Linked DNA regions of Medicago truncatula. The protein of the gene in region 3 interacts with the protein of the main gene of each other region in a pairwise test. Links are inferred from orthologs where the notes say so. Each region holds a gene or a part of one and is shown on either strand. Other genes may lie near its edges.

Evidence for each region.
Region 1: the proteins of homeotic protein knotted-1 (region 3) and F-box protein SKIP28 interact in binary tests that used the Arabidopsis thaliana proteins (3 or more experiments, as listed by UniProt). The link is inferred for Medicago truncatula from reciprocal best matches to the Arabidopsis thaliana genes KNAT1 and MEE11.
Region 2: the proteins of homeotic protein knotted-1 (region 3) and homeobox protein ATH1 interact in binary tests that used the Arabidopsis thaliana proteins (3 or more experiments, as listed by UniProt). The link is inferred for Medicago truncatula from reciprocal best matches to the Arabidopsis thaliana genes KNAT1 and ATH1.
Region 4: the proteins of homeotic protein knotted-1 (region 3) and cullin-associated NEDD8-dissociated protein 1 interact in binary tests that used the Arabidopsis thaliana proteins (3 or more experiments, as listed by UniProt). The link is inferred for Medicago truncatula from reciprocal best matches to the Arabidopsis thaliana genes KNAT1 and CAND1.

The regions. Positions count from the first base shown.
Region 1 is NC_053049.1:48,362,323-48,368,588, reverse strand, and holds F-box protein SKIP28, read right to left. Parts: upstream 2,289-6,266; 5' UTR 2,097-2,288; coding exon 1,740-2,096; intron 1,348-1,739; coding exon 742-1,347; 3' UTR 653-741; intron 622-652; 3' UTR 522-621; downstream 1-521. Other genes in the region: dynein light chain LC6, flagellar outer arm, read right to left, coding at 3,094-3,252. UniProt on the Arabidopsis thaliana protein: Component of SCF(ASK-cullin-F-box) E3 ubiquitin ligase complexes, which may mediate the ubiquitination and subsequent proteasomal degradation of target proteins. Required during the endosperm development in embryos.
Region 2 is NC_053042.1:4,466,239-4,473,737, reverse strand, and holds the start of homeobox protein ATH1, read right to left. Parts: upstream 3,003-7,499; 5' UTR 2,865-3,002; exon of another isoform or gene 2,655-2,864; intron 2,328-2,654; 5' UTR 2,211-2,327; exon of another isoform or gene 2,183-2,210; intron 2,052-2,182; 5' UTR 2,031-2,051; coding exon 1,038-2,030; intron 439-1,037; coding exon 83-438; intron 1-82. UniProt on the Arabidopsis thaliana protein: Transcription factor which may be involved in the signal transduction pathway downstream of the COP1 gene. Controls floral competency as a specific activator of FLC expression. Is responsive of the nuclear import of SHOOT MERISTEMLESS (STM).
Region 3 is NC_053042.1:4,713,743-4,720,766, reverse strand, and holds the start of homeotic protein knotted-1, read right to left. Parts: upstream 3,001-7,024; 5' UTR 2,534-3,000; coding exon 2,111-2,533; intron 1,864-2,110; coding exon 1,741-1,863; intron 1,541-1,740; coding exon 1,408-1,540; intron 1-1,407. UniProt on the Arabidopsis thaliana protein: May play a role in meristem function, and may be involved in maintaining cells in an undifferentiated, meristematic state, and its expression disappears at the same time the shoot apex undergoes the transition from vegetative to reproductive development.
Region 4 is NC_053045.1:64,570,791-64,578,522, reverse strand, and holds the start of cullin-associated NEDD8-dissociated protein 1, read right to left. Parts: upstream 3,022-7,732; 5' UTR 2,882-3,021; intron 2,727-2,881; 5' UTR 2,701-2,726; coding exon 2,665-2,700; intron 2,555-2,664; coding exon 2,174-2,554; intron 2,082-2,173; coding exon 1,916-2,081; intron 1,460-1,915; coding exon 1,330-1,459; intron 935-1,329; coding exon 820-934; intron 709-819; coding exon 551-708; intron 444-550; coding exon 320-443; intron 31-319; coding exon 1-30. Other genes in the region: ATP-dependent Clp protease ATP-binding subunit ClpX, read right to left, coding at 7,386-7,535. UniProt on the Arabidopsis thaliana protein: Key assembly factor of SCF (SKP1-CUL1-F-box protein) E3 ubiquitin ligase complexes that promotes the exchange of the substrate-recognition F-box subunit in SCF complexes, thereby playing a key role in the cellular repertoire of SCF complexes.

The DNA.
Region 1 (6,266 bases), on a different chromosome or scaffold from region 3:
CATTATTGATGAAAGCATGCAATTCCTACCTACATTCATGAGGCAATATATGTTCTTACCTATCAAAACGGTGGAAAATACTGAGTGTGTTTGTATACATTCAATTTGACAAAATTATGTTGGCACCATGATTTTGGTAAAACGTCAAAGTGTAGATTTTGCCAAAATAATTGTGGCACGCCGTGCCCTGTAAAATTCACTGTCAATCCAAATATGCACCGTGTCCTTTGGTGTTTTAAAGTTCCACTCACATCTATTTTATTAGTGTAAGCTAGTGTCTATGTTTCCAGCTTTCTATATGATCAACAACAACGTTCCTTCAAAAACTGAGTTCAGGAAAGTCAAAATTGAAGGCAGCAAGCCTAGCTAAGGTTAAACACTATCATCAATGTCAGAAAAACCGTTGAGAGATGTTTGGTTTTGACTACATATGTGAGATATTTCTATCAGATATATTTTGATTTATTTTAAACACAAAACTGATTGAAATGAAGTATTGGTCTCTCAATCTCAACACTAAATTTGTTTTGAACTCAGTTCGTTAACTCAGACTTTTTAAGCATGGACGAAATCATGTTGGCTCAGTTAAATCATGCCGCTCCAAATATGTAAATTCATGAATGCAAATGATATGTTAAAACAATAATTTCTGTAGGCATAAACTTTATACAAATAATTGTAGTAACTCAAAAATTCTAGGCATGATGATATTATAACCTTAATCATCACAAGTCATTTTCATTATAGAACATCAGTGTATGTATATCCGTGAGAATTTTCATCACAAACTCTGCAGAGAAATGAAGACTCTGAAGAAGTGCACCACCAATTTGTGTGCTGCTTACAATATGGTTTGTTACAGAAATTGCACTTGGGAAGCTGTAACCAGCATTCAAGGCACAAGAAATCTCCGCATGCAACATCTTCAAGTTCTTCTGATCCAACACATCCACCACAGTTTTCACACCTTGGAATACAAAATATGCATCCCCTACATTGAGCTTGGCACAATTCCTTCCTATTGCAGTCCACTTTTGGGCAATCATATACCATTCTCACCTCAAAGCACTTGGGACATTTCTCCAAATCAATAATCCTCTGATTTTCGTTGTGCTTGAATGCTGAAACGCTGCCACGTTTATGATAGTAGATAGGCTGTTGTGTTAGCTCGTCTTCTAATGGGAGGTTTTTTCTGAGGTTTGAGGTAAGCACGTCAAGATGATCGTTTTGTAGGTTGTAAATGCCGTTTAAACTCAAGGTGGTTAAGCAGTTGGCTCTTTGGCAGAGTGTTTTCACAGCTGTTAGAACTCCTTCAGGGGTTATCCCAGTGCATGCTGGTATATGAAGCTACAAATCAAATTAAACCAGAAATCAGACTATGTTCGAAGAACCTAAAAAACTCAATTTTGTATTTTACATTGAATAATGAAAAAAAAATCAAAATTTTATAAAAACCAAAGGTGAACAATCCTCGACACAACGGTAAGGTCACTGCCTTGTGACACAGAGGTCCCCGATTCAAAGCCTAGAAATAGTCTATATGCTTGCGGTGGTAAATTTGCAAACACAGAGACTATTGATCCGTTGAATTGAATGAATTCCACATTCCTTCGCTCACTATCCTAACTGTTAAGCAGCTAAAACTGACATCATACGTTCACTTATATGAAGCAGAATTTGCTTATAATCAAAACCATTGAATCACAGCAGCAAAACAGAAATCTCTCTAAAAACATTACCTCTTCAATAAAGGGGTTTTGTTCAACAACCCTTTGTAGTCCATGGTCAGCAACGTGGATGCAGTTCATAAGAGCAAGTGTTTGAAGCCTACCATTTGCTTTGGATGTGATCTTCAATAGTGTGTCATCTGAGAGTCTTGAATTGAGAGGGGTTTCAACAATAATTTTAAGCCATAGCAATACATCATTGTTGACTGCATATCTCAGTGATGTGCAAACACGAGACATGGTTAAAACCTCGTACACTCGAAGGTAAGCTATCACCAGAAACATGGCTTCATGAGGAGGACCCTCTTGTTCTTCTTCCTCAACTGTGGTGCTCATTTCAGAAGAAGAAGCTTTGCAAGACTCTTCCATATTTGATTTGATTCACACGTTACTTTATAGTTTATAGTATAAATGCAAAACAAGCCAATCATATCATATGATATTAATACTAATATATTTATAAAAGAAGGAGGTAAGCTTGGATCTTGATCGAAGATGTTGCATCTGTATCTATGTGGCTGGGAAACTATTTTATCAACATTCTTTTGAAGATATTGTCATATTAATGTGACACGTTAATACGGCTACATATATATGGTTGAGGTTAATGCACGTATGAGAAGAAATGTTACACTTTTCCCTTCCTTTTCCCTCTCCAATAGGAATAAGACATAAATAAGCAGCCAATTTTGACTGTTTCCTTCTCACCCTTCCTCGACAATCTTTGCATTGGACTCAAAGTAAAGGTTATTTTTTTATAAAAATCATTCACTGCTCATTTTCAAAGAAAATCCTTGCTTTTTATGTGAAATTACATTTTCTTCCTAAGAGTCAATTACCTCAACAAATTTTTGCAGGTCTATGTGAACTAAAAAAATGTATAGTATATAGTAAAAATCTACCTTGCTCAACCAAATTGTTGAAATTGCTAGACCGTACACTTTCACCTAGGTTTGAACTTAAGATGTGAGTTTTATGTAGTGTTTATCACTTCGTTTACATACCATAACCAAAAATGAAGAAAGAAAACTCTATTATTTACAGTACAGATCAATAACAACTGTGAATTTAAAATCCGAGCCCCAATTATTAGCAGCAACAAGAAGTTTAATGGTTGTAGGCAAAGGCAGAGGAAAGGGAGTGATGGATATTCAATAGCACTCCAACTTTATAATTTTCTTTATGTAATCTTTCACAATGCTGTAAAGCAACAATTTGTGTACCAATAATGCAACTATCAACAAGCATTTTTAGACTTTTTTTTATTTATAAAATTTATCTTCTGAGCTGAAGTGAAGAATACCATGTTGCTTGTTACAACAAATTGCATCAATGTGCATAAAATATAAGCTCAAACATTTGGAAATTATGAATGGTCTAATGGTTCAACAGTTGTCTTGAAGAGAAGGATGTGAACTTTGTCAATGGAAAAATACAAGAAACCACCAACAGAATGAGTGACATAAGAACCAAAGCTAGTACCTACAATGCAATGCCAAGCTGGACCATAGGTAGAGTCAAATTCCTGTAATAACAAAATATTCCCAAAGTTAGCAGGTAATAAAATAATACCAAACAGAGTTATAATTCATTTGTTAAAATATTGTAAGCTTGGTAAAGAAACAAGATAAAGTTACACCTGACAAAATAACACTCAGGATATCACATTATTAGAAAATTCAAGATTACAACTTTAATATCATTTATCAATGCCTGAAACCTCCATCAATGAAATGAGGGACCATCCAATCTAACATTTTTATGTCACAAATAACTTCCACACCAAGCCAACTAAGTTCATTAATAAATACAACCAACAAAACTATTGCCATACTTTCCTGGTTTTGGCCATACAAAAGAGGCACATCACATGCACAAGTCCAAAATTCACATGCACAAGTCCAAAATATGCAATCTTTGATAATGTACTTACATCAATTCACATAAAAAAGATAGTGCTAGGATGGAAACTTTTGGCAGTAGTGAACTTAGATTTGTATTGATTGTGTACCAGAAATTGTAACATTTCGTAGTTTTGAATGAGCACAAGTTTGAGTGATGAAACTACGAAATATTTTTGCATTTTAAAGCTCAGAAATGTTGAAGCAATAATTTTGGTCGTCAATATGAACATGAACTAATTAAAATACAAGGTATGTATTATGAAACTGAAAAAATGAAATGATTTTCCTTAAGAGTTCAAGTAATTACAAAGCTATATATAGCTAATTGCAAGAATACCATAACATACTATGGTTCTGCTGTAGCTTATTGAGCAAGAAACTAAGCTACAGCTTATTACTTGGAGCTCAAGTTATCTGCATTTGTAGTGTCATGTAATAGCCCCCCACAAGTTAGAGGTTGGTACAAATCAAGCAACCCTAACTTGGATAAAAGAGTGCTGACTGCTGAATGGCTGAGGAAGCAATGACTTGGTGAAAAAAATCAGCAAGTTGGTTTTGAGAGGAAACAGGTAAAAGCTTCATGATTCCAGCTTGAAGTTTCTCTCTAACCAGATGACAGTCAATCTCCAAATGCTTTGTTCGTTCATGAAAAACTGGATTAGCAGCTATATGAAGGGCACTCTGATTATCACAGAACAAAACTGGAAGTTTGGAGCTTTGAATGTTGAGATCTTTGAGTAAGTAGAGTATCCATTGCAGTTCACAAGTTGCTGAAGCTAAAGCTCTATACTCAGCTTCAGAGGAAGATCTAGACACAGTGGTTTGTTTCTTTGTTCTCCATGAAATCAGAGAGTTGCCTATGAAGAAACACTGACCAGAAATAGAACGCCTGCTATCTACACATCCAGCCCAATCTACATCAGAAAATCCTTGTAGATGAAGAGAAGAGTTTCTGGGGAAAAACAAGCCTTTGCCTGGACAACATTTGAGATATTTGAGCACTCTTAAAGCAGCATTGTGATGTGTCTGGGTTGGTTTAGAAAGAAACTGGCTCAACTGTTGAGTGATGAAAGTGATGTCTGGTCTGGTGGAATTGAGGTAAAGGAGTCTGCCAATCAATCTTCTATAGGAAGGAATATCTTCATATGGTGGAGATGAATCATTATGAAGTTTGAGAGAAGCATCTGAAGAAGTAGAGACAGGTTTGGAGTTGATAGTGCCTGAATCAGATAACAAGTCTAAGCAATATTTTCTTTGACATAAAGAGATGCCTTGCTTAGAATGAGCAACTTCAAGACCTAGAAAATACTTCAATTGTCCCAAATCTTTGATCTTGAAAGAAGAATGCAGAATGGATTTGATGTGTTGAAACTCAGATAATGAATTGCCAGCCAAGATTATGTCATCCACATAAACCAGAAGAATAGTAAATGAGGAATCAGTATGCTTAGTAAACATAAAGTGGTCTGCAGATGCCTGAATGTAGTTTTGTTGAATGAGAATGGAAGTTAACTTCTCATACCATTTTCTACTTGCTTGTTTGAAACCATACAAAGATTTAAGCAGTTTGCAGACTTGATTGGTGCAGTTTTATTTCTAGTGGACTTTCTTGGTGATGAAGGAATGTCAGGAGACTGATGAACAGGTGAAGGAGGAGGTGAATTTGTAGTGTCAGGTGAATTGATAGGTGAATTTGTAGTGTCAGGTGAAGTGATAGGTGAAGATGATGATGAGTAGAGCTCATCATCAATAATAGGTATAGGTGGGGGAGTATCAACAGACTTAGTAACAACAGCTTGAATAGGTGAAAAATACTCCCATTGAGAAGTGATAGACTCACTATTGCTTGGATAAGGTAAAAAATATTCATGAAAAACAACATGTCTAGAAACAAATATTTCTCTGGAATGAATGTCAAGTAGAATGAAACCTTTGTAACCTGACTTGTAGCCTAAGAAAACAGTTTTCCTGGCTCTGGTTGAAGCTTGGTTCTATGTGATTGAAGTGAAGAAGCATGACAAAGACAACCAAACACTTTGAAAGTATCAATATCAGGAAATTTATGATGAAGAGCATAGTAGGGAGACTGACCCTAAAGTAAAGGAGTAGGTATTCTGTTTATAAGAAAAACTGCATGCAAGAGGGCATATGACCAATAAGATGCAGGGAGTTTGGATTGATACAAAAGAGCTCTCCCAACATTCAAGATATGATGATGTTTTCTTTCAACTCTACCATTCTGTTGAGGGGTTTCAACACAAGATTTTTGATGTAAAATGCCAAGTGATTCATAAAAAGATAAAATAAGAAATTCAGGGCCATTATCAGATCTAATGCATTTAGGAGTGACATGAAATTGAGTTTGAACCATTTTGATGAAAGATTTGACATGATGGGAGACCCCAGATTTAGTTTTGAGTGAGATAATCCATAAGAATCTACTGTGATCATCAACAATGGTGAGAAAATATTTGTGACCATGAATAGAAGATATAGAAAGAGGACCCCAAATGTCAAGATGCAAAAGTTCAAAATTAGAAGTAGCATGAGAAGTACTAATGGAAAAGGGTAAATGTTTTTGTTTAGCAAAATGACAAATGTCACAAACAGAATTTTTATTATCAGAAACAATATT
Region 2 (7,499 bases), about 250 kb from region 3:
ATATTGTAGCAAAATGCAGCTGATGCAGCCGAAATTGGGGATGCAATGTGGCAGCATATGTTTGATTATAGATAATACTTACGGATGGAGGAAATTCTGAAACATCCAATCACGTAGAACGGAAACAGATCTTTCTGGCAAGCCCCTTTGGGGCCTCCATAACTGATCTTTCCTTTTCAACTGTTGAAGAGCCCATTGCTTTTGAATGAATGAAGTTTCAACAGATAATTCCTTATCCTCTTCTGACCATGAACTGTTAAAATTTGATCCCATGGAAAGAATATGTTTGCTAATCCTCTCTCTCAAGTCCTTATATAGTCGAGAAACCGTTTTGACAGCAAAGTGCGCGTGTATTTGTGGATCGAGCTCAGTAGCAGCATGAAATGCAGATACGACAGTGTGAATCTCATCCAAACATTGACTATATTGACTGTCCACCTGAGTAAAATAAAGACTACTATCAGCATTCTCGAACAAAACTTTCATATAGAGAAATAATTTTTGATAATCAAAATTTCTTTTGACCCTTGTGTGTAACTTTGGAATGTAGGTATTTTGATGTTCAAATAACAACTGTTCATAGAGTACCATTCAACATCACACAATTTGCTTTTCAAAGTTTTGTCCTGAACTAGTATAACAACTTTTAACCATCGATAAATTTTATTTGGAAAAGTGAACAATTTTGCATCTAGGTTTGCTTCTACAATTACAAAAATTAATTTTGATTTTCTGCCTAAGAGGGTGTTGCATGTAATTTGATTTTATGTTTCGATAGATTCTCATGTAAAAGTTGATTGAGCAATAAATTCAAGGCTAAAAATCAATTGTAGAGGCAAAAGCTCAAAATTCTAGCTCTAAGTACCAACTCTACTAGAAAACATCCAAAGATGTCAAAATCCGTTCTACACATCAGAAATCAATTTTTTCCATGTTCAAGAGTGAAACCAGCAGACATATACTAACGCAATCAGGACCATAAACGGTTTTACGAAAACCAAATGAATGTAATGTAATCTAAGTGGTTAGCAATGTACCATCTGTAGAAGCATCAAGAGTTGAGATTGCTTTGATTCAACAGCATGCCTTTGCAATGAAGAATCAGCATAAGCTTCTGACATAGGACTCTCGTCGCGATTTATTCCTATCCTTCGCTTGGTTGTGTTTGACGAAGTTGATTTATTTCCTCGGCCTCTAACACCAGAACCGGAATAGTTTATCTCATCAAGATTTTCAAATGAAAATGTTGCAATTTGAACAAGTATTTCCTGAATTACAGCAAGGTATCTTGATCCTAATATTGCGGGCGAAAACTTGACATGTTTATCATTCCCTAAACTCATAGAAAGTTCCATACTACTACATGAGGCTTGTTCCAAACCTGATCTTGTTCCATTCATGCTATGAGTTAAGTCAGAACAACTAATCTCTGAGCATTGAACTGAAGTTGGAGATGTTGCAAGACTTAGTGAAAGCTCATTGCTACAATTCGAGGAACTATAAGCGAGATTCGTTAAGTTAGCAACATTTGATGATTGCCATCCATTTGGATCAATGTTCCCTATCGGCGAATATGACATGAATTCGGTTCCAACATTACTCTCTTGAGCTTTCAAAAACTTGTTAACATAGCTATTATTATCACCAAAAGTTGCACACAAAGGGTTTGAGTTTGAAGTATCATGCCAATTATTGAATATGTATGGAACTATTGCTTCTAAATTTTCTTGAAGACCGATTCTAGCCGGAACCGAAAAGTCATTGTTATTAACAATGAGATTTGAGGGATTTTCCACAATAGTCCTTCCTTGTTGTGATGTAACAAATGAATTATCAGCTATGGTAACTTGATTCATGAAACTACCATCAACATGTTGATCTTGTTCTCCACCAGAAAGTATTGGAATTCCATTTATGATGTTGTTTTGGTTGTTAAGGTCAAATGAATAGTAATGAATGAGTGGCTTTTGTGTTAGATGTTGTGTGATATCTTCCATGTTCATTTGAGCAGTGTACACATCATTCTCCATTTAGAAAACAATTAGAAAATGCTACAAAGAAGAAAATAAAATAGACTTAGAAAAATGATTTTTGACTACTTACTTATTTGATAACAAGAACAATTTTAAGATAAGGCTACAGTTAAAAAAAAATGTTTGTAAGCAAAAACAAATGAACCAACCTTGTCTTAATAAGCATAGGAACCTTACATAAATCAAACAGAGCCACCATATGAAACTTTACATATATCTGTCAAAATCTTCAAAAATTCAAACATTTTTGACAACTTCTTTGCAGGATTTGTAGTTGCCTTGTCCTATGAGAACCTAGAAAACAACAAAGAAACATGAAAAACAAAAAGATAAGCAATGTGATTAGAGTATCATTAAATTTGGTCTTAAAAGTTTAACAATGTAAAGAACAAAACCAGAAATATGCTGAAAAGGGTGAATATCAAAAGCATGCATTGGTCCAATATGCATGAACATTAACAATATTTTTAATTCAAGTATCCCAAACTCCAAAAGCACATTTTTTAATTTTCACAGATCCCATCAAGATTTATTGCATAGTGCATACCATTCATTTCTCTAATCCAATACACACAAAAAAGCTCAAAAAACTTTACATTATACCATATAAAAAAAAATCACCTCAAGAATAACAAAAGCATTGAAGAGTGCAAACTGCAAACTATAGTGTAGAAAAAATGTAAAAAAAAACCTAGAGAGAGAGAGAGAGGGGGGGGGGGCTAGTTTATGCACCTATGTATGTAAATGCAAAGATAGAGATGAATGAGATAGAAGAAGGTAGAAAAACCACAAAGAAATAAAACAAGGAAAGAGAGAGAGAGGCATTGATACAGTGTATAGTGTTTGGTGCAGTGCCACTCATTTCTGTTTCAGGCTTTAGAGGGCCCATCTTTTCACTCTCTCTCTGATCATTTATCTGAATCACTGCTATATTTCACTCTCTCTCTGTTCATAGCATAGCAGGTGCATACAGAAAGAAACATTTTAGCTTTTTTAGCAAAATTTAAAACAAGTTGGTAACTTGAGTAGAAACAAGAGTTACATGATACTGTGATAAGGTAAAGAAAATGTTGCAAATAAAGTGCAAAAACAAAACATTAGGCAAATGTATGGCGTGTGATGTGAAGATTTTGACACTGTTATGTTGTGTTGTGTCATCATGGCCTATAGTAACGTATAGGGTTCTATGTAATGAAATATTGAAGTATAGGTGTGTACTTTTTTTGTTGCTTTTGGGGGGTAGTAATAGTAAGAAGAGGGTGATTAAAGTGTGTGATGTAAGGGATATATAAAATGACGCAATTTTATATATGAATGGTCATCTCATCATCTCCATAGTTCTGCAATTTTAATGCAGCAAATCATGTGTTCAGTATTTATTCGGCGGGAGGGAACAATGCACTTTCATTTCATATCAACACATACTACTTCAGAGTTTCATATTTTTATTACTCAAAAAAAAGTTTCATGTTTTATTTAACAAATGTCATAAGATTTTTAAATTTAATGTTTGTATAGGTTAATCATTTTAGTTTTCCTAATTTCAAATTAGTTATTTATGATCATAAAAATATGTACATAATGTTTTAAGTCATAAAACATATGCATCGTTAACCTATTTCTATCAAATTCATTTTAAAAATATTTATATGAATGTTTGTTGCTATGTTGATAGATCCAAAGTTACCTCTCTCAAAACTAAAGTTATTCGATCTTAGTTTAAAATAAAATTAATCAATTATTTGATTTATAATTTTGTTAATGAAATATTTATCAATAAAATTAAGATTGAATTGGGAAACCCTAACCCTTTTTTTTTTTTTGTCAAAGGAAACCCTAATTTTTTAAGATATAAATCACAATACTTATTATTATTAAAAACGGGCGTCGTAACGTGCTGCATGCTGGTTTCAACAAAATATAAAAACGGGTAGTTACATTTTTTTTACTAAAATGGGTAGTTTTTATTATTAAAAAATAATAAAACTAAATTAATAGGGTTAAAATTGAAAGAGATTAATAAAAGCTATAAGCTTAAAAACTACCTAAAATATAATCTCACAAAAAGTTATAAGCTCATGAGAAAAACTTATTACCAAATACGTTATGTTTTGATCCAACAAACTCAAAACTAATCCAATAAGCTATAAATGTAAGCGGTTTGGACAAAACCGACGAAACCAAAAGTTTAAATCAGACCAAATCGAAAAAGTATTCGACATTGTCTGGTTCGGTTCAAAACCGAACCGGACTAATCTAAACATATCTTGTTTGGTTCGATTCTCATTTTTTCATTTTGAGATCCAAGAAACTGATAAACCAAACCGATGTTAACTCCACTTCCCATTTTACTAATATTATTCCTCACACACACACACACACACACACACAAACATAATTAGACCCAAAATTAAAAGTCCAACATAAAATACTCCTTGATCAATTCACTTTCTCCCATCTTCACTTTATTAATGACATTATCAAGTCCTCCTTTTATTCGACAATGTCATAATCCATTCACTTATGATTTGGAATTTTTGTGAGTTGATGAATGATGTATGTGTGGATCATGGATGATTGAAATATTTGATTTTGATGAATGATGGATGAATGGATTTTGGATATATGAAATATTTATTTTGAAGTCGTGGATGCATGAAATATTGAGTAAGGTTAATTATAAATAGATGTTTGAAAAATAGAGAACATGAAAAAAACACAAAGTTCCGTAAAATATTTTAATATGATGTATGTTGTATGCATGAAATATAAGTTTGTGAGAATATGAAATTTTTTAATTGTATTTTCAAATAAACTGATCAACCGAACTGATCCAAACCGAATCAAACCGATTAGTTTGGTTCGGTTCCTTTTTAGAAAAGAGTACAAAGCGAACAAATAAAGATTTCATTGGTTTGGACATTTTTTTGATTGAAAACCGATCCAAATTGAACCATTACACTCCTTAAACAAGCTTCTCGTCCTTACCAAACACAACCTTAAAAGCAACCAAGGTGAGCTCATCGGCTTCAAACGTGATTTTAATTGATTGGAAAGTTGTTAACCACCCAGTTGCAAATGTTAATCTTGGCAGCAGCGAACAATAATAATTTTATGAGGTGGTTACAATAATAATAATCACAATAGCTATTACTCATATAAAATATATTTCAAAAGACACACTTAAAGTAATAAGAACAGATTATAAAAGGTTATAATTTACTAGTTAGTTATTTTTTAGCTATAAAAAAAAGTGATGCGTTAATAAAGGGTTTGTTTTGACAATAACAAAGTGCCGTTAAATCAGTTCAGGCCAATAGCGATAGGTTTTTGTTTTGGGAGGAAGACATTGATGTTGTTGCTGCGGTCATATTTTCATTGTCAATCAAAGAATGTAGAACTTTTCTGTGTTCATCCTCTGGTTCCTAGCTTAATATAAAAATATACTTATTCTTTCAATAATTTTCTTCTTCTTCTTTGGGTTAGCCATAGCTACCCCTTTAGTAAGAAAGCAATCGCCCCTGAATCTTGGTATGTTCATCCGCTTCATTTTGGAATCAAAACTACTATTTGTACCTTTTCCCTCTAGTAAAAATCAATTTTACACACTCTATTTGTCACTTACAATATTTAAATTAGTCGTTGATAATTTGATTCATTACAATTTCTTCAAAAATAAAATAAAATTGATTCATTACAACATAGATGCTAATTTACTCGTGTATGAAAATTTCTATTCTTGTATTAAGCTAAAAAAAAGTCTGAGAAAGCATATATCAACCTTATAAAAAAATAAAAAGAAGTATAAATAAATTTGTGTTATGATAATCACCCTTAAAGTGTGTATTAATATTTATAAACAACAAAATTAACTCATCTTTTAAGTTAATCTTTTACATTTAGATACAACTTCAGTAAAATTTTGACTATTATTTCTCCAAAACTCTTTCACACATGTGCATATCATGAACAATATTTGCATGAGACCTCACCACCACTGGTTTGATGAATTACAAACACAATTTGAAGGTATGAAAATATCAATGATTAATTTGTATTATATTTTTTTGTGAATGATGGAAGCCCTTTAAGAATAATGATTTACTTTCTACTTGTTGTTTTGTGTGACAATTTTCTATACCATTGTATTTCGTTAAAAATGAAATCTATACCACTGTTCATACAGTGGAAAAGAAGATTTTATAGATAAACAATAAATGAAACCACATGATTTAGTCAAAAAAAAAAAAATGAAACCACATGTGTATGTATAAACATTTCATCATAATTTTGGTTACAGAACAGGTTCACTCCTTTTTCAGAAAGATTGAGGGAAATTATTGTTTTCCCTCTAAAGCAAACGTTTTCGGGTGTTTTGGTCAAGTTAACTGGTTGGATGATAATGAAGTCATGCTATGTAGAACAAGACAAGGAAAAGTATGGGCCCTTTAAAACATTTTAGAAGACACAGGGCACTAACTCTGAACATGTTTCAAACCCTATGCTCATAAACGACAAAGCCGTTTCTGTTTTGTGGACCTTAGCCTAAGTTTTAGTTGTAACCTATAACCTGTTTGGAACATCAATTAATAATTGTTGGTAAGTCTTAATCAAGCTTACACAAAATCTCAAAATATTTCTAGGGGTGCTAAGAGAAAACTCTTTCACATTTTGTAATACGGTCTCTCTTATTGATTAAAATGCATTAGAGTCACGTTTAATTTGGTGAAGCTTACATGTATTATAACTGGTAAAAATGAGTATGTTAAAAAATGTGTTGTTAATTTTTTTTTACTCGCACACAATCTCAAAATGCGAAAGAGCTTCTTGATGATTATGAGTTTTTATCAGTAACTTTTTTTTCCTCAATGGATATTTATCTTTTGAAGCTATTTTTCACATTCCGACATCAATCTAAGGTGGCATTTAGATGCACACTTTTAAATGCTCGTTTGGTTCCACTTTTTTGAGATATCAAAATTGATATTAGAAGTGTTGAATTGATTTTAACTTTTTAAAATATTGTGGTAGAAATGATTTTGTATCTAAAATTTGAATCATATTAAAAACTAGCTGGTTTTCAAATTTTGACTTTAAATGATTTTTACCTTCATAGTAGCATCATTTACCTCTATTTAGTCTAATTGCATGATGATCCTTTGCTTTTGTCGACTAAAATATACCCTTAGCCCCAAGTTATAAAACATACTTCTAACATTTTTTGTCTCTCTTTAATATAAGAACTTTCTCAAATTTTCACATGCAATAATTAGTTTAACAAAAATACCCTCATGTAATTTACAATTTAGAAACATAAATTCTTTTTCTTCTCTTATGATAACAATAATTAACGATAATTATATATAAAAAAATAACACACTTCTTACAAAAAAAAATTGTTACAAAAAATCTTTCTTAATACTCATAAATTTTGTAATTAGTCCATATATTAAAAGAGGAATGGAA
Region 3 (7,024 bases):
GATTAAAATAAAGGGTTATGCTAATAAGTGCCTTTAGACAATCCACAATAGTGATGTCTTCACTATTTAAGATCCGGTACCTAAGACTCGAGAATTAAGACTCTCATTCTTAAGTGGATCCCACGCTGCTTTTTATTAAAATAATCATTATATTGTTGGAATATAAATGATGAAGAGTTAGTGGTTGGATCAATTTAGACCTTTTGTCAGAGGGACTCCATTGGAGTGACTCAATACTTATTAAGTACGGTTATTAAAATAGTGATGTGTTCACGTGGAACCCGTTTAAGAACTCAAAATTGAGGATCCATTGTAGATGTTCTTAGGACACTTGTTAAAGAAACCAAAAGTAGTGACTATGTTTGTATTGGATTCATGTTAAGCAACTTAAAAAGAACAATTTTACATCGGAAAACACAATATGACAATTTTTAAGAAGTTGAATGCACACCTTTTAATATGTGTATTTTTATAATAAGTATCTTAACATGTGCCTTGAAGGCTCAAGTTAGCATTTACTTAAAAACAAAGGCACAATCGCACTAAAAACTCCTTTCTACAAAAAAAAAAAAAAAAAAAATGGCACTAAAAACTCCTAACACTACTAGTACTCCTATGTTGGGGTTGGATTGGAACGGCATCCAATGTGTTTTTTAAGAAAGAATGCAAAAGAAAAGAGAAAATTAAAAAGTGATTAAAACGGCATTAGCGGTAAGACGGCCGAAAAACTGACCAATGTAATGATGAGAAAGAGTAGTAATTCCACAAAACCCAATGAATCCTTCGAAACCGATAAACACGAGAGTTTTAGTCAGTAAAATACATTGATTAACATGGAAACCCTAGAAGAATAATTGTCAGTCAGAACTCAGGAGCTAGCTTGGGAAATAGAAGCCTAACATGGAGACGCCAACGTGTGGATTTGGGTTTTAGCAACAATAAAAAATGAAATAGTAAAAAATTCGTCTGGAGTCGTGAAGTATGAACAAATACAGCCTCTAGAAACATACCAGTAAATGTGATATTTTTTATAAAAAAAATAAAAATAAAAAAAAATATCATATTTAGAAAGTACTAGCGATTAGGGTTCTGTAGATGATGAAGAAATATCATCTTCAGTTATATGGGTCCCCTACCCTTCTGCTCCCACGATTTGAAAGCATGTGAGATTTTTGGTCAAAATTTCCAGGCTATGTTCAGAAACACTCGAGTTTACGAATTTCAAGAGCTTTCACAACCCGTCACTCACACATCAGTCACATTACTCTTAATAGTCAATAATCCAGAATTAATTAATGACCTCGTTTTAATTTCAGTGATATTAGTAATATAATAAAACAAAACTATTGAGAATGAATATTGAATTGAATATATTAAGAGAAAAGATAAAGTACTACTACTACTCACCAGGGAAGATCCGAAGGGGTCCATTGCAAAGTGTATTTAGCTGTGTTTCTATTCTTCTCATGAAATCCATAGCCTCTTGTATAGGCCTTGTTAATTCCTCTCTATACTTCACAAGCATATCATAATATGCTTCCTGTTAAACATAAACATAAACACCATTTCAACGTCCAAAACCACAATCTATAAGTTCTATAAATATAGATACAGTAATCAACTAGATTTTTGCCGACATAATTTAAACTTATTGATTATCAAGATAAAAACCCAACGAAAATAATTTTAATTCTAGAAAGAAAAAAAACATAAACTAAAACAAAAAATACCCCCTTGTACCATGAATTGGTCTAGTTCTGGATCTTTAGAAGTTTCTCTCGAGTTAACTGAAGATCTTTGCCGTGCTTCAAATTCTTGCCTAGACGCAACCAAACGAGCCACCACTTCCGGTGGAGCTCCAATCTACATATAATTTGTTTAATTAGAGAGAGATAGCAATTAATTAATATAAAAATTAAAAATATATATATAAAAAATGGGGTATGCTTATTTAAATTGTTATCATGATGGTGGGAGTCCAAATTTAATTCTTGACTGAAACAATCATTAATTATTGATTATAGTATTTTACTTATCTTGAAGGGAAGGGTTAAGAAAAATAAATTGTTATAATGATGAAAATGAATAAAAATAATAATTAATTAGTGACCTTTTGACAATCCATGTAAGCTTGTAAAAGACTAGAATATTGAGGATGAGCAATGATTTTGGCTTTTATAGCTTCAGCTTCAACATTAGAACTGCTTGGACTCCCTCCTCCTCCTTGATGATGATGGTTATGCATAATATTGGTGTGTGGAATAATATTTGTTCTCATTAAAGCTGGGTAATGAAAAATCGGAGTGTGAAGTTGTGAAGTACTATTTGCTTCAGTTTTCACAGCAGAGTGTTGTTGATGTTGTACTTGATCAGACTGAAAACAATTGTCTGATCCATGAAAGTTGTTCATTGGAATCTGATTATGTTGATGATTGTGTTGGTGTTGGTGTTGGTTGTTTCCACTAGCAATGGAGTATAAGAAATTTGGCCTTGAATTTGGATTTGGATTTGGATTATTAGTGTATTCCTCCATTTAACTCAAATTTAAGAAACCAAATATCATATATGTTTAACTCTCTCACTCAACTCAATTCTCAAAATATAGGGAAAATGAAAAAACCCTACTTTGTTGTTTTATAGAGTAATAAAAATTATGGAAAGGTCAAGAACTTAATTGAAACCCTAATGAAAACCATCTTTGAGATTGTTTATATAATGAATGAAATTTAGGGACAACACAAGTGTAATTTTGTGTGTGTTGGGGTGAAGGGGTCCAAGAAGTTTCAAAAGCCAAAAGTTTAAGAGGTTGAGAGATGAGTGAAGATGATTGGAGCTTATAGATTTTGGGCATTGACAGGGTGGAGCAAGTAGAAACCAGCAAAACTCTCACATGATGTGTTGTTGTACGAAGAAGAGAAAGATTAGAGAGAGAGGAGAGAGTGGTGGCTTTAGTCCAAACCGGCAATGTCTTGGAGATGGGGGTGGTTGACAAGACTTTGTTTGGTTGATAGAAATAAATATGAAGATATATTTAAATTAGAGAATGTTAATCATTGCCTTCGGAACATTGGATAAGGAAATAAAAATAAAAATATAACATTGGAAAATAGTAAAAAGTGATAAATTTAACTTTTTAAAAATTAAAATGTTGTTGAAACTAATGCAAAGCTTCTATAATTATTGCTTTGAGAGCAATGGTTAGCGCGACTCATTTAAATATTTTAAAAGCCAAATGCAGTGTAGTGTAGCTAGGTTTATATTTTTTTAATTTCTTTGCTTTATTTGCTAAAGTTAGTTTTCTTTGCTATTAATTCTCTGTAGTTTGTCTCCTAATTGATTTTCCTTTTCGGGGTTCTTGATCAATTGCTTCCTTAATTAGTGCCCGCAGGATAATGGTTAAGGAAATCAAAAAATAAAATTAAGTTGAAAATATCACTTTTTAAACTTTTAAGGAGTTGAATGCACAAATTTCAATAGGAGATTATTTACTTCCTTAACCATTACTTTGAGGGCACTTGTTAGCATTTCCTATTCTTTATTACATAGATTTTTTCTAGAATTGTTTATTACATAGTTCAAACGAAACTATTAAGTTGTGTCATGTGGGGTGCATATATATTGTTAAAATAATTATAATTTAATTTTAATATATGCATCTTGATTATACTTTCACACCTCTACTGTATTGTTATAAAAATATGATATTTGTATAATTATTTTATGATAATTTTTTTATAATGTACTTTCTTGTTTATACTATGATTTTATCATTTTGTTTAATTTTTTTTAATTGATTTAGATCAACAATAATAAGATTGTCATAAAGCTTGTCATCAAATCAAATAAGTAATAAAATATTGCTACTCAAAACTGTATGTAAACAAACTCTTTTGTCTCAAAACTGTATGTAATCAATTATTTTAGATATCAAGTCTTTTGTCTTGAAGAAACCTTTAAATATTAAAAAAATGTAACATTGTTCCCAAAAACATCATGAACAATAACTAAGACCCTCAATAAATTTATGTTTCACTACAACAGTGAATTGATAAGTGGTAGAAAGTAGTAAATTTATGTTATATATTAAGCACTTTTGATTACTTGTTTTACAAGTTATTCATGGAAATGCCAAGAATTTATGCACAAATGTCTATTTATGCTTTTTATACCTTACTTTATTCCATTGTGCAGGAAAATGATGAACAAGACAAGAATTCAACAAAGAAACTTGAAGATTTGCAAAGGTTAGCTCGCCATAGCGAGCACAGGGCGAGGACAAGGCGAGCTAAGTTAGAAAGTTTACAATTTCATAAGTCCAAGCCTTGCCACAGTGAGGAAGGAGCGAGCTAACTCGCCATGGCGAGCTAAAATCGAGCTTGCAGCGAGGAGTTCCAGAAAATCCAGTTTTCAGAAGTCTCAAGCAAGCCACAACGAGGCCATGGCGTACCAACTCGCCATGGGGAGCCAAGAAGTGAGTGGAAGTAGCAGTTCCAGAAACTCAGGAATTCAGGAAAACAAAACCTTCCCATAGCGAGCAATAGCCTTGCCATGGCGAGTCAAGGCGATTGCAGGGCACTTAATGACGTGACATAAACCCAATGGCGAAGAAAGCTCCACTCGCTACAATGTTCGATTACTCCATAACCTTCATACTAGATTATGAACGCCATGAATATATCATTTAACTTTAATATCTCGTGTGCCTCATGAATTCTCATCTAAGGATTTATACTTTATGAAGATGTCTAACCCTCATAAAATAATAAAATTCCATAAAAATAGAAAAGATTCCACTGCTATAGGTACAATATTATATACGAAGGAGATATAGATTTTAGGCTGAATTTTTTAAATTCCAATTATACCCATACACAAATTTTCCTATATCTTTTTTTTGAAGAAGCTAAAATGAAAATTATTTAAAACACAAAGAATCCTAGCAAGCACAGGGAATGCTAAGCTAGAAGACTTAAAGAGCAACATACAAAGGGAAAGTGTCTCTATATATGTGGAACACTCAAATAAACACTCATGTATCAAATATAAATTTTTACGAGCAAACCAAAAGAACACTCCGAACCGTTAAAAAACCTCTCCAAATAATCATCAAATCTACCAAAAACCCATGTAACCGCACTTTAAACAAACCACACTCCGTGTATTTGAAAACCAAGAAAACCTACAAAAAAACATAACCACCACAAAAACCAATAAACTTCACTGACCATGAAATTTATCTATACTATATATAAAGAAAATAGTGGGTTTCGGGGAGATTTTGGTCTGCTTTTTTTGCTATTCCAATTAAACTCTTAAATAAATTTTGATATAATAATATTATGTTGTTGGTGTTATTAAAAAGGATATAAAAAATGTTATATTTTTTATATTATTGTTGTCATTGAAAAATATAAATATGGTTTGTTGAGTTTGTTACATTTAAAAGTCACAAATATTTATCCTTATAATTTTTTATTTATATCAAAAAATTTATATAAAATATCTTTTGTAATTTAAACGCAAAATTTCAATAAAATATTGTTAATAAAATATCTAAATGACATATTATTTATCTTCAAATGTAGGTAAAATATCTAAAACATACTAATTATCATATGATGCCCTATCAACAAAATACACCCACGCAATGTGAGTCATACGCATCCTAAAAATCATCCCTGGAGAGAATCAACTCTTTCTCCAGTCTTTTTTTATATCATCCACAACTTTACTCACAATAAAAATATCATCAAGAACTTAACAGTCTTTCACAAAAATAAATTGAGTATATAAAATGATCTTCCCAATAACCAACTTCAATTTGTTCACTAAAACCTTTACCAATACTTGATACATACACCCGACTAGAGAAATGAGAGGAAAATTATACAAACTTTGCTAATATATAAGCCATCAACATCCATAAACAATAAACATATATAAATATACTGAATTTATCTAAACCAACCCCTATGTTGTTCTGGCTATCGAAAATTTAGAATCATAAGAGGAAAGAATGAAAGGAATTACTAACTAAATAGTTGAATAAAAGTTCTCGATGAGTTACTGCTAATGAGTTCACTAAATAATGAATATTTTTTTTTGGTAAGAAATAATGAATAATTTAAAAGAACTTGAGTTTGATTACTTTTTTCGCGATTTAAATTTAGATTATCAATGTCCCGTTCTCCTAAGAATCGAAGGTTAACATAATTTTTTTTGAATCACTATCTAAATTTGATCATCTCTAACTGAAAAAAAAAAAAAACTTACTTATGCATTGATCGCATTCCAAAATCCAAATATTATAAATTATAATAAAAGAGTGAGTATTTGTGCCAGTGTTATATAGAATGCTTTTTCCACCGATCGTTTAGCATTATGTGGAAGGTATGGAAATGTACAAGTGAATTAGAATGATATATTTGACGTAGTAATTCATTATATTTAATCAGTACTATTGTATTTACTCGACGTTTGCTCGGGTTAGACATATTCAAGATGATAAAAAAATTATATCTATGATGTCCGCAAATAAAATTTATCATGGATTGGTATAGGATGAATATCTTAATAAATACACACAAATATAATAAAATATATCATATTATAAATACTCGTAAATTTATAGATACACATACATATAAAATTAATTGAATTTAGTAAAAATATTAACACATATAGAATAAAATTAACTTTTAGGAATTTGTGTTATTTCTATTACGTAAAATATTAGGAATTCAATGAAAAATTTAAGTAAAATATTTAATAGATAAGATCAAAAGTTTGTTGAAATATTCAAATATTAGTTTTAAAAAATAGAAAATAATAAAAATATTACGAATAAACATGAAACTGACATGTGGCATAAAAACCTTACTTTATATATATATATACAGACATATACTATTGATTGATTGATTTTTTTTTATTTTTTTTTTTTAATCAGCAAAATTTTATTAAAAACCAAGTTTCTGCACAAGACGAAGAGAGACCGGTGTTATAGAAAGTACAAACTAAGACA
Region 4 (7,732 bases), on a different chromosome or scaffold from region 3:
TTTAAATCTGTCAATCAGTTTTGGACAAGCCTGTAAAGCAGGAAGGCGAAGGATATGCCGTCATTTAACTAAAAATAATAACAGGGAGTGAAGAGCCATATACACAAACAATTACACAGTTTCTTTGAGACAAAAGAAATTTTATTGGAAGAACATGTGGATACAAAAATTATCAAACAATAAATCTAGTATACCAAATGTTTACTCACAGCCCAGAAGGATATCATGATGCAAGAATAGCAAAATCTCAGAAAAATAAAGAGAACAGTAGTTTATTAACAAATTACACAAAATTATGAACAAGTGAAAGCAAAGTTACCTCATCATACAGCTTTGAAAGCATCTCAGGACGAGAAACAATCAATGCGGCTAAGCATTTAGCTGCTGCTCTGCGCACTTTCCAGCTGGCATCTTCATCATCTGTATATTCATTTGCACTTTCTCTGGAAAATAATATTTGATATATGATATGATTAACAAGAAGAATATTGTGCAAATATAAATACCATACAGGCAACCAACTGAATCAAATAGGCACAGAGACACATACTCATCATCCTCCTCTTCATGACCTTCATCATCTGTATCCTCCTCCATGTTGTCAGTAAAGTTTGGGTCATAACTCAGATATGTCAGTGCCAGGTGAAGAATTTCATCACAATACACTGAAATGTCCCTTGGACACCTTAGGAGAAAGCTTTCTAGCGCCTGCAGCAAAATTTCGACATTATTGAATATATAACTAGTAGTGTACCATAAATAAATATAAATACAAACATTTCATAGTATAAAATTATGGATAATAAACAAATATGGCACCTGCAGACTGTACTCACGAAGCTCTTCATCATTTTCTGAGGCGGTAGTACAATAGTTAATAAGGACTGGAACTGTATCTCCAAGATGGGGTCCAAATCGGTAGCCAACTGCTCGACTGTAACACCAATTAGCTCAAATTTGTTACTACAAACGTTCTATTTTCAACCAGTGTTGTTACTAGTGGTTGTGGGGGAAGGCAACGCCATACCACGAGGTGTTATAATGTTAGTGATGTTGTGTCACCATTTAATACAGTTTATATTTATCATGCAGCTTATTTTTATTTGTATACAGATTAACATTTATAAATGGCACCGATTTATTTCAACCATAATGTGACTTCCACTGTTTGCCTATATAGTTCAGTAATGTTGTCCGTGTCCGCTATATATGACACAGTGGCTTTTTGGTTTTGAACCACTTCCACTATCTACTAGTGATAACACTATTTTCAACATGAAAAAGAGACTGAAGCAAGAGGGAGAAAATAATGTGAAAGAAATTGCTAACCTTATAGCGCCAATCATTTGTATATTTGTACGAGTCATATCAGACTTGGCAGCCTTATTTTTCAATTTGGTAACAATTTCAACTGTTGCCTTTGCCAACAAATCATCTGACAAACTTGAAGAAAGAGATGCTGACAAGAAGAAAAACATGTTAACAGTTTTGCATTAATTGACAATAATGTTTTTGACCAAAATAAAAGAGGCCACTTCAGGGTTGATACCAAACATCATTTTAGTTGCTTTAGGTTAAAGAATCAACACAAGTTTTACGATGAAGTGTAAAAGCATTTGAACACAATCTCTTCATTTCAAACTCATATTTGGGAAAATCAATTAATAGAGTCAAACTCATTGAAAATAATGTTAATCAGATGCTCATTGAAACATGAAACACAAATCTATCTATCTTCCAGTTACTGAATCAAAGTTGCCTCAGACGCAACAAAAAAACTACAATAGGGTGTTTAACCAAGATGTATGGAAAATAATTGAGAAAACTCAAACTGCGGAAAGTAATATCAACTCCCCACTCATGAAGAACAAATTTTACAGAAAAACAAAAGCCAGCAAATTAAAATATGTCTTACCAAGGCATGCAACAGACTTCTTACGAACTGTAGCTTGGTTAGAATTCAACTGAGAAAGCAGGGAATTTAACAATAGGTCATGATCCGCTGCCATTAGATTCCCAAATTTATGAAGGACGTCGCATAAAATATCGAGACATTCACATTTAATCTCTGTGGTCATATCCTGTGAAGGGTACAACAGTGTTAAGCATGTGAAACAAAGAAAAGAAAGGAAAGTAGATAAACGAGAAGGGAGTTAGGTAGTTAGTTAGTTACTTTGGCAGTAATTCCTTTGATCAATTGTGGGGATAGAATGGAGAGAATGGACTGTGCAAGGGATTGGGTAGAAACTTCAGCAACAACAGTCTTCAAAGCAATGCTAGCAGTGTCGCGATGCTGATCCTTGCCATTAAGTATTTTGTCACAGAGTTGACTAGTCATTTCAACAACCCTAGACTCATTCATCTTCCTGACTAATGGAGCAAGACATTTAACAGCAAGACCAGAAACATCACCAGCAGCATCATCAAGCTGTTGAATGATTATATTTTTCAATTTAAGTTCGAGATCAGCATCAGCCCTAAAAGTAGGTTTGGTCAATTCATTAAGCAAATCAGATGTGGCCATATATCTGTAATCTTTATCCTTCCCAGTCATCTGTCACAAATACATACATACAAAGTTGAAGATTATTTGTTATCATAAACCTAATTAATACAACACAAACACATAAAAACAGTGTTAAAAGAAAAAGAGAGAAAAAGTACCTTTTCAAGAATACCAGGCAAAGCTAAGTTCGCCATATTTGCAGAAGCAGCAAACAACAACACTGTGATGAGTGAGTCGAGTCCAATGTCAGGGATTACAATACAAAGTTGAATTGAAATGAAAAATAATCAACAAGAATCAGAATCAACGAAGATTTAAATTCGATTGTATTGAATTATTAAAAAGGAGAATTGAAGAAGAGAGATATAAACGAACCCTAGTGCGAGAGTCGATCAGAAATCGATGCGGCGGAATCGATCAAACCAAATGCGTCTTTCTCTTTCTCTAAACTCACTCACTCTCAACAACTGTCGAACCCTTTTCGTTTCCTTTCGTTTCGTTTATAAACCCTACTTGCTTGCTTACACCCAAATTTATTATTATTACTGCTTTTTTCCTCTCTCTCTTTATCTCTTCTTCTCTTAATTTTTTTTTTTTTTTAAGTGAAGACCTAAGTGATCCTTCACAAAATACTTTAGATTCAATTTAATTTCTCGCAATATAAAATAGTCGTCGTTGGAAAAAGCAACCCCAAATATTTGGTACCAAAAGTGGTTAGCGGTGACCGTTGAATAAATTTATTCCGCTTGAGTTGAGTTAAAATCACGAAATGAATTTGCGTCATCACAATCTTCAAATAATGTATTTCCTATGGTAGAACCATGAATAGCGCATAGTAGGCAGTGCCCAGTACACCAGCAACTCTCATCGTATGAAATGATTTTAATGTCCAATTATGAAACCCTTAGAAAAAGATAATGAATCGAAATATAACTGCTACACCAAAATTAGGCCGACCTAGTGGATAAATCATGAATACATAAACAAAAACATCAATTAAACCAGAGAATGCGATTGGATTTTAAGGAAGCAATTGAACAAATCAAGCAAGTTCAAATTGATGTAATATAAAACCTATTAATCATAAAGCACCATGGAGAGCAACAAGAGTCCACAAACCACCTAATTGACACCAACTGGTAAAATCTCCACGTGCTTCAGGACTCAGACTAACAACAAAGAGTGTGCTAAACTATTACTAGAAGTAGAGACTATCGCAGTTAAGAAGTTACAACCTTCCAAATAAGAATCTTTCAATCCACGAGTATACCATGAAGTTACAAGGTGGTACCTTTGAACCAACCCCCCGCGACAAAATAGGCGCAATCCACCTTCACCACCACAACCACAACGTGAAGACCATGTGTTCCCGTAACACCACAATGAACACCTTCTCCGTTTAAATGCATGGAAATTTAAAAGTTAAAATTAGGAGAGATAACATGTTTAATGGTGTTGATTCTCACACCGTCGAAAACTGATGAGAAACATGCGGGAGGAGATCCATTCTCTTATTCATAAGTGGGCATCTTGTAAATAAAAGTTGAGGTTAACCAATTCTTTTGCACACCCGTAAATAAAACCACACACGCCTTCTTTGCCTCCAAGATATGCATAGCCTCGAGAAATTGATGTGTCCATCATGAGTGTAAGGATGATTTCACTCCCATCTCAAATTATCGTCATTCTCAGAGTTGGTGCAATTAGCTTGTAACTACACTTTTCCCTTTTCTAACGTCATGTATCACATTTTTCGATATATTTTGGTTTTTGTATTTTTAATGCAGTAGAGCTAAATGTAGACTATTTAATTGTCACTCATATTCTTATCAAAGGGAAAAGACTAATAAGAATGGAAGAAGACAATTGTAAAAGATTCGACGCTTAATTCAAATAAAGTGGAACACAAAGATAGTGTGTAGGTTGTAGCTTGATGTTTTACGAGTCTTCAAGTCAAACTAGTCTCTAATTTTCCCAACAAGATAAAACTAATTAGCCATTTATTTTCCCTTGATGGGTTCGTAATTTTTTTTTATGGGTTTCCGCCCTCCATTGTACCCAAAAAAAAAAAAAAGAATATTTACAATAAGTATCCGAATGAAACATAATTACTACTAAGTTGTGTATATTATTTCTTTCATTTTGAAAAGTGTGTTGCCGATCAGGCTGTATACTGATAGGAAATGTTCGTGCGCGAATATCAAATTGGGTTAAAGGAGTATTCTTTTTTATTTTTTATCTATAGATAGATTAACAGATTTCCAGTTTTTCCCCTAAGAAAAAATAAAAAATTCCAGTTTTTAAACTTCGTATTATGGTTGTTTGCATATTCTTGTCAATTTGATCATTATTAAGAAATCAGATCAACACCTGTTTTATGCAATCAACATACTCAAGTCATGATCCAATGCATAGAGAAAAACATATAAGCATTTTGTTTCACTTTTTGAGTTTTGGTCATCAACAAGATAATCACAAGAAGAGTCAAATATCTTAACAATACGTGTTCAATTTATGGCCAAGGAGAAATTTCATTAAAAAAAAAGTACAGTATGTATGCAATTGACTTATATTTCATAACTTAATCCCGCATTTGTCAATCCATATACTTCGTCAACTCATTCGTGATTTGCAAAGTTTCAGCAAGTCCACCTCTAAAGACGCTTTATTTCAATACCTAGAAGTAAAATATTAGAAAATGTCTCTATTTTTTCCGATTCATAGGCTTTCCTCGATACTGTCTCTATTTGGCTTTCTTTTATTTCAACGACTCTTGAGTTGTGGTTCCTACCACTTTTACACAATCAATGGCAAGCACACATACTACTTGTTCTGAGTACCGTTACTTGGTCAGCTTTTAATCAAGACCTAAGCTTCAAATATTTCTTCGAAAGACGCTTTTCAAACCGATTTAGAAATAGAAGGAAGAAACTATATATCTTTATCATGACAACAACATTGTCTTACCAGTAAAACTCATTGTCGGATTTAGGGCAAAAAGATTGTTTGTAGGCAAGTTTGTGTAACCCCCAAAGTTATAAGACAATAGTCGGTGTAGGAGGTTACCAGTTATCACATATCAACAATATATAACTCCCACTTCAACAAGCATTCAGAATTTTTCAGATATAAAAGAAAAAAACATTTTGAGGTCTACTTTCTTAATAATAATAAAAGCTAAGCGTGTTCTTGAAATGGTAAACTAGCATTGGAGATCTTTAACATTAGCTTCAGGTCTCTTAAACAAATAAAATATTTAACCAATTTGTTGATGTACTTAATGACAAAGGAGCATGCAAGTGCAGGATCATGAGTTCACACATTTATAGTAGGAACATTATAGCCAATTGAAGAAATCCACCAAAGGGCGTCATTACCATGCGAGTTGAATGCACAAGTCTGGCATATCATGATAAAAAAAAGGGCACTGTAAAAGTTTTCAATTTCGTGCTAAAATCATCTAGCCCTTGGTATCATTAACAAATCACGCTATCTAAAATACATAAAGCATACGCATGGACCTGCTAAAGAAACTGAATCTATCTAGATCTTCACAATTAAAACATGATGTAGAGGAGAATAATAACTTAATGGAAACCCATAGTGGTTGCCGTGTTTGCTAGAACAGATTCCATATTCTTAAAAATCAGTAGTGGATCCATGAATGCAGAACAACAACTTTTGCATAATTGCATCTGATTCAATGACCACTTTTTCTGAGTTGAGCTCCCTTTGCCAAATGTGAATCACACCAAAAGGCCAAGTTGTTCCACAATCAATACCTTTGGATCTAAGTCTCACTTCTGTGTTGGGAGGCATTCGCTACAAAATATGAATTCTCCAAATAAAGCTTATCATACAAATTATGCAGGCAAGAGGCATAAAAGCTTAACAGAGTTCAGTGTGCAATAACATGAAATTACATCTAAAACGCATAAAAACATTATCTAAAGACACAAGGATCAAAGTTCTCTTTTCCCCTTGAACAAAGCATATTTTTCAGCTGCAACTAAGAAGTATCAAAATGATGAAAATTATAAAAGAAACATTCAAGGGTCTTGTAGGTATACTAGCCAGTGGCCAATACAACTCATTCACATCATATAATACTTGATGGTTCTACTTTATAGTATGATCTCAGAGCACAAAAACACAGGTAAAGAGGACCCAAATTCAATAAAATCAACTAATGCCACATCTCTTGAGAATGCTATAAACTTGAATTTCTTTACACAACAAACACAAAAATATTAAAATATACTATTTCAGGTGCAACCCATTTTCTCCTAACAACCTCATATAACGACGAGCAAATGAAGGATATTTGAAACTAAAGTTACTTGAAAGATAAACACTCAATCAGAGCGAGAAGAATAAATAGATATTTTTTAACCTTCTTAAGCAATTGGCTGCAGATAGGTGCTCCGGCACGGAGGAGACGCATTCTGGCACGGTGGTCGCGGAAAATAAGCTCTGACAGGAACTCTGGTTTAGGGTTTATGTTTCTGGATTCTAGAGGAATCCATCCATGGGCTTAAAATCTTGGTTGTAGGTAGTAATAAAAAATTAACTTGGTGCACACACAAAATGTCTAAGTCATACCATCTTGTTTTGAATTCAACCAAGAAATGAAATAAGACTAAAACAGGGAGCCTATAATGATATGAAAATGAGCATCGATTATACAATGCTTATTGCGTGTACATACATAACAGTTTGATTCTAATACAGCACCCCCAAAAAAATAAACATCTCCTATATTACACGCATTTTGGGGGGACAGGGTTTAGTATGCAAAAACGAACAAGGAAAAAATTAAAGAAGAAAGGAAAAGCTGATAAAGAAGAAAAAGAAGGAATTGCAATACTCTCTTGACTATTTACAAACACATTGTTCTTGCTTGACACTCCAATGCGCCATCATCTCTGCATATGATTTTTGCTCCACAGCCAGTACCATTGACTTGTCCAACTGCCTCTTCATCAACCAATACCCCATTTATGTTATCAATATCAGTCTTGTCTGGAATCTGTAGATAAAAACAAAAATCAACATTCATATTGATAACCACCTTTTTCTTTAAAAAAAATCCACTTCCATATGCAACAGTTTTGGAGGGTAGGGAAATATAGATGAGAAAAACAATAGAATATGATCTTATATTTCCACAGGTAGCGTGTACATCAAACATTGCTTCAGTAAGAATATTTTCCAATAAGGCTTTTA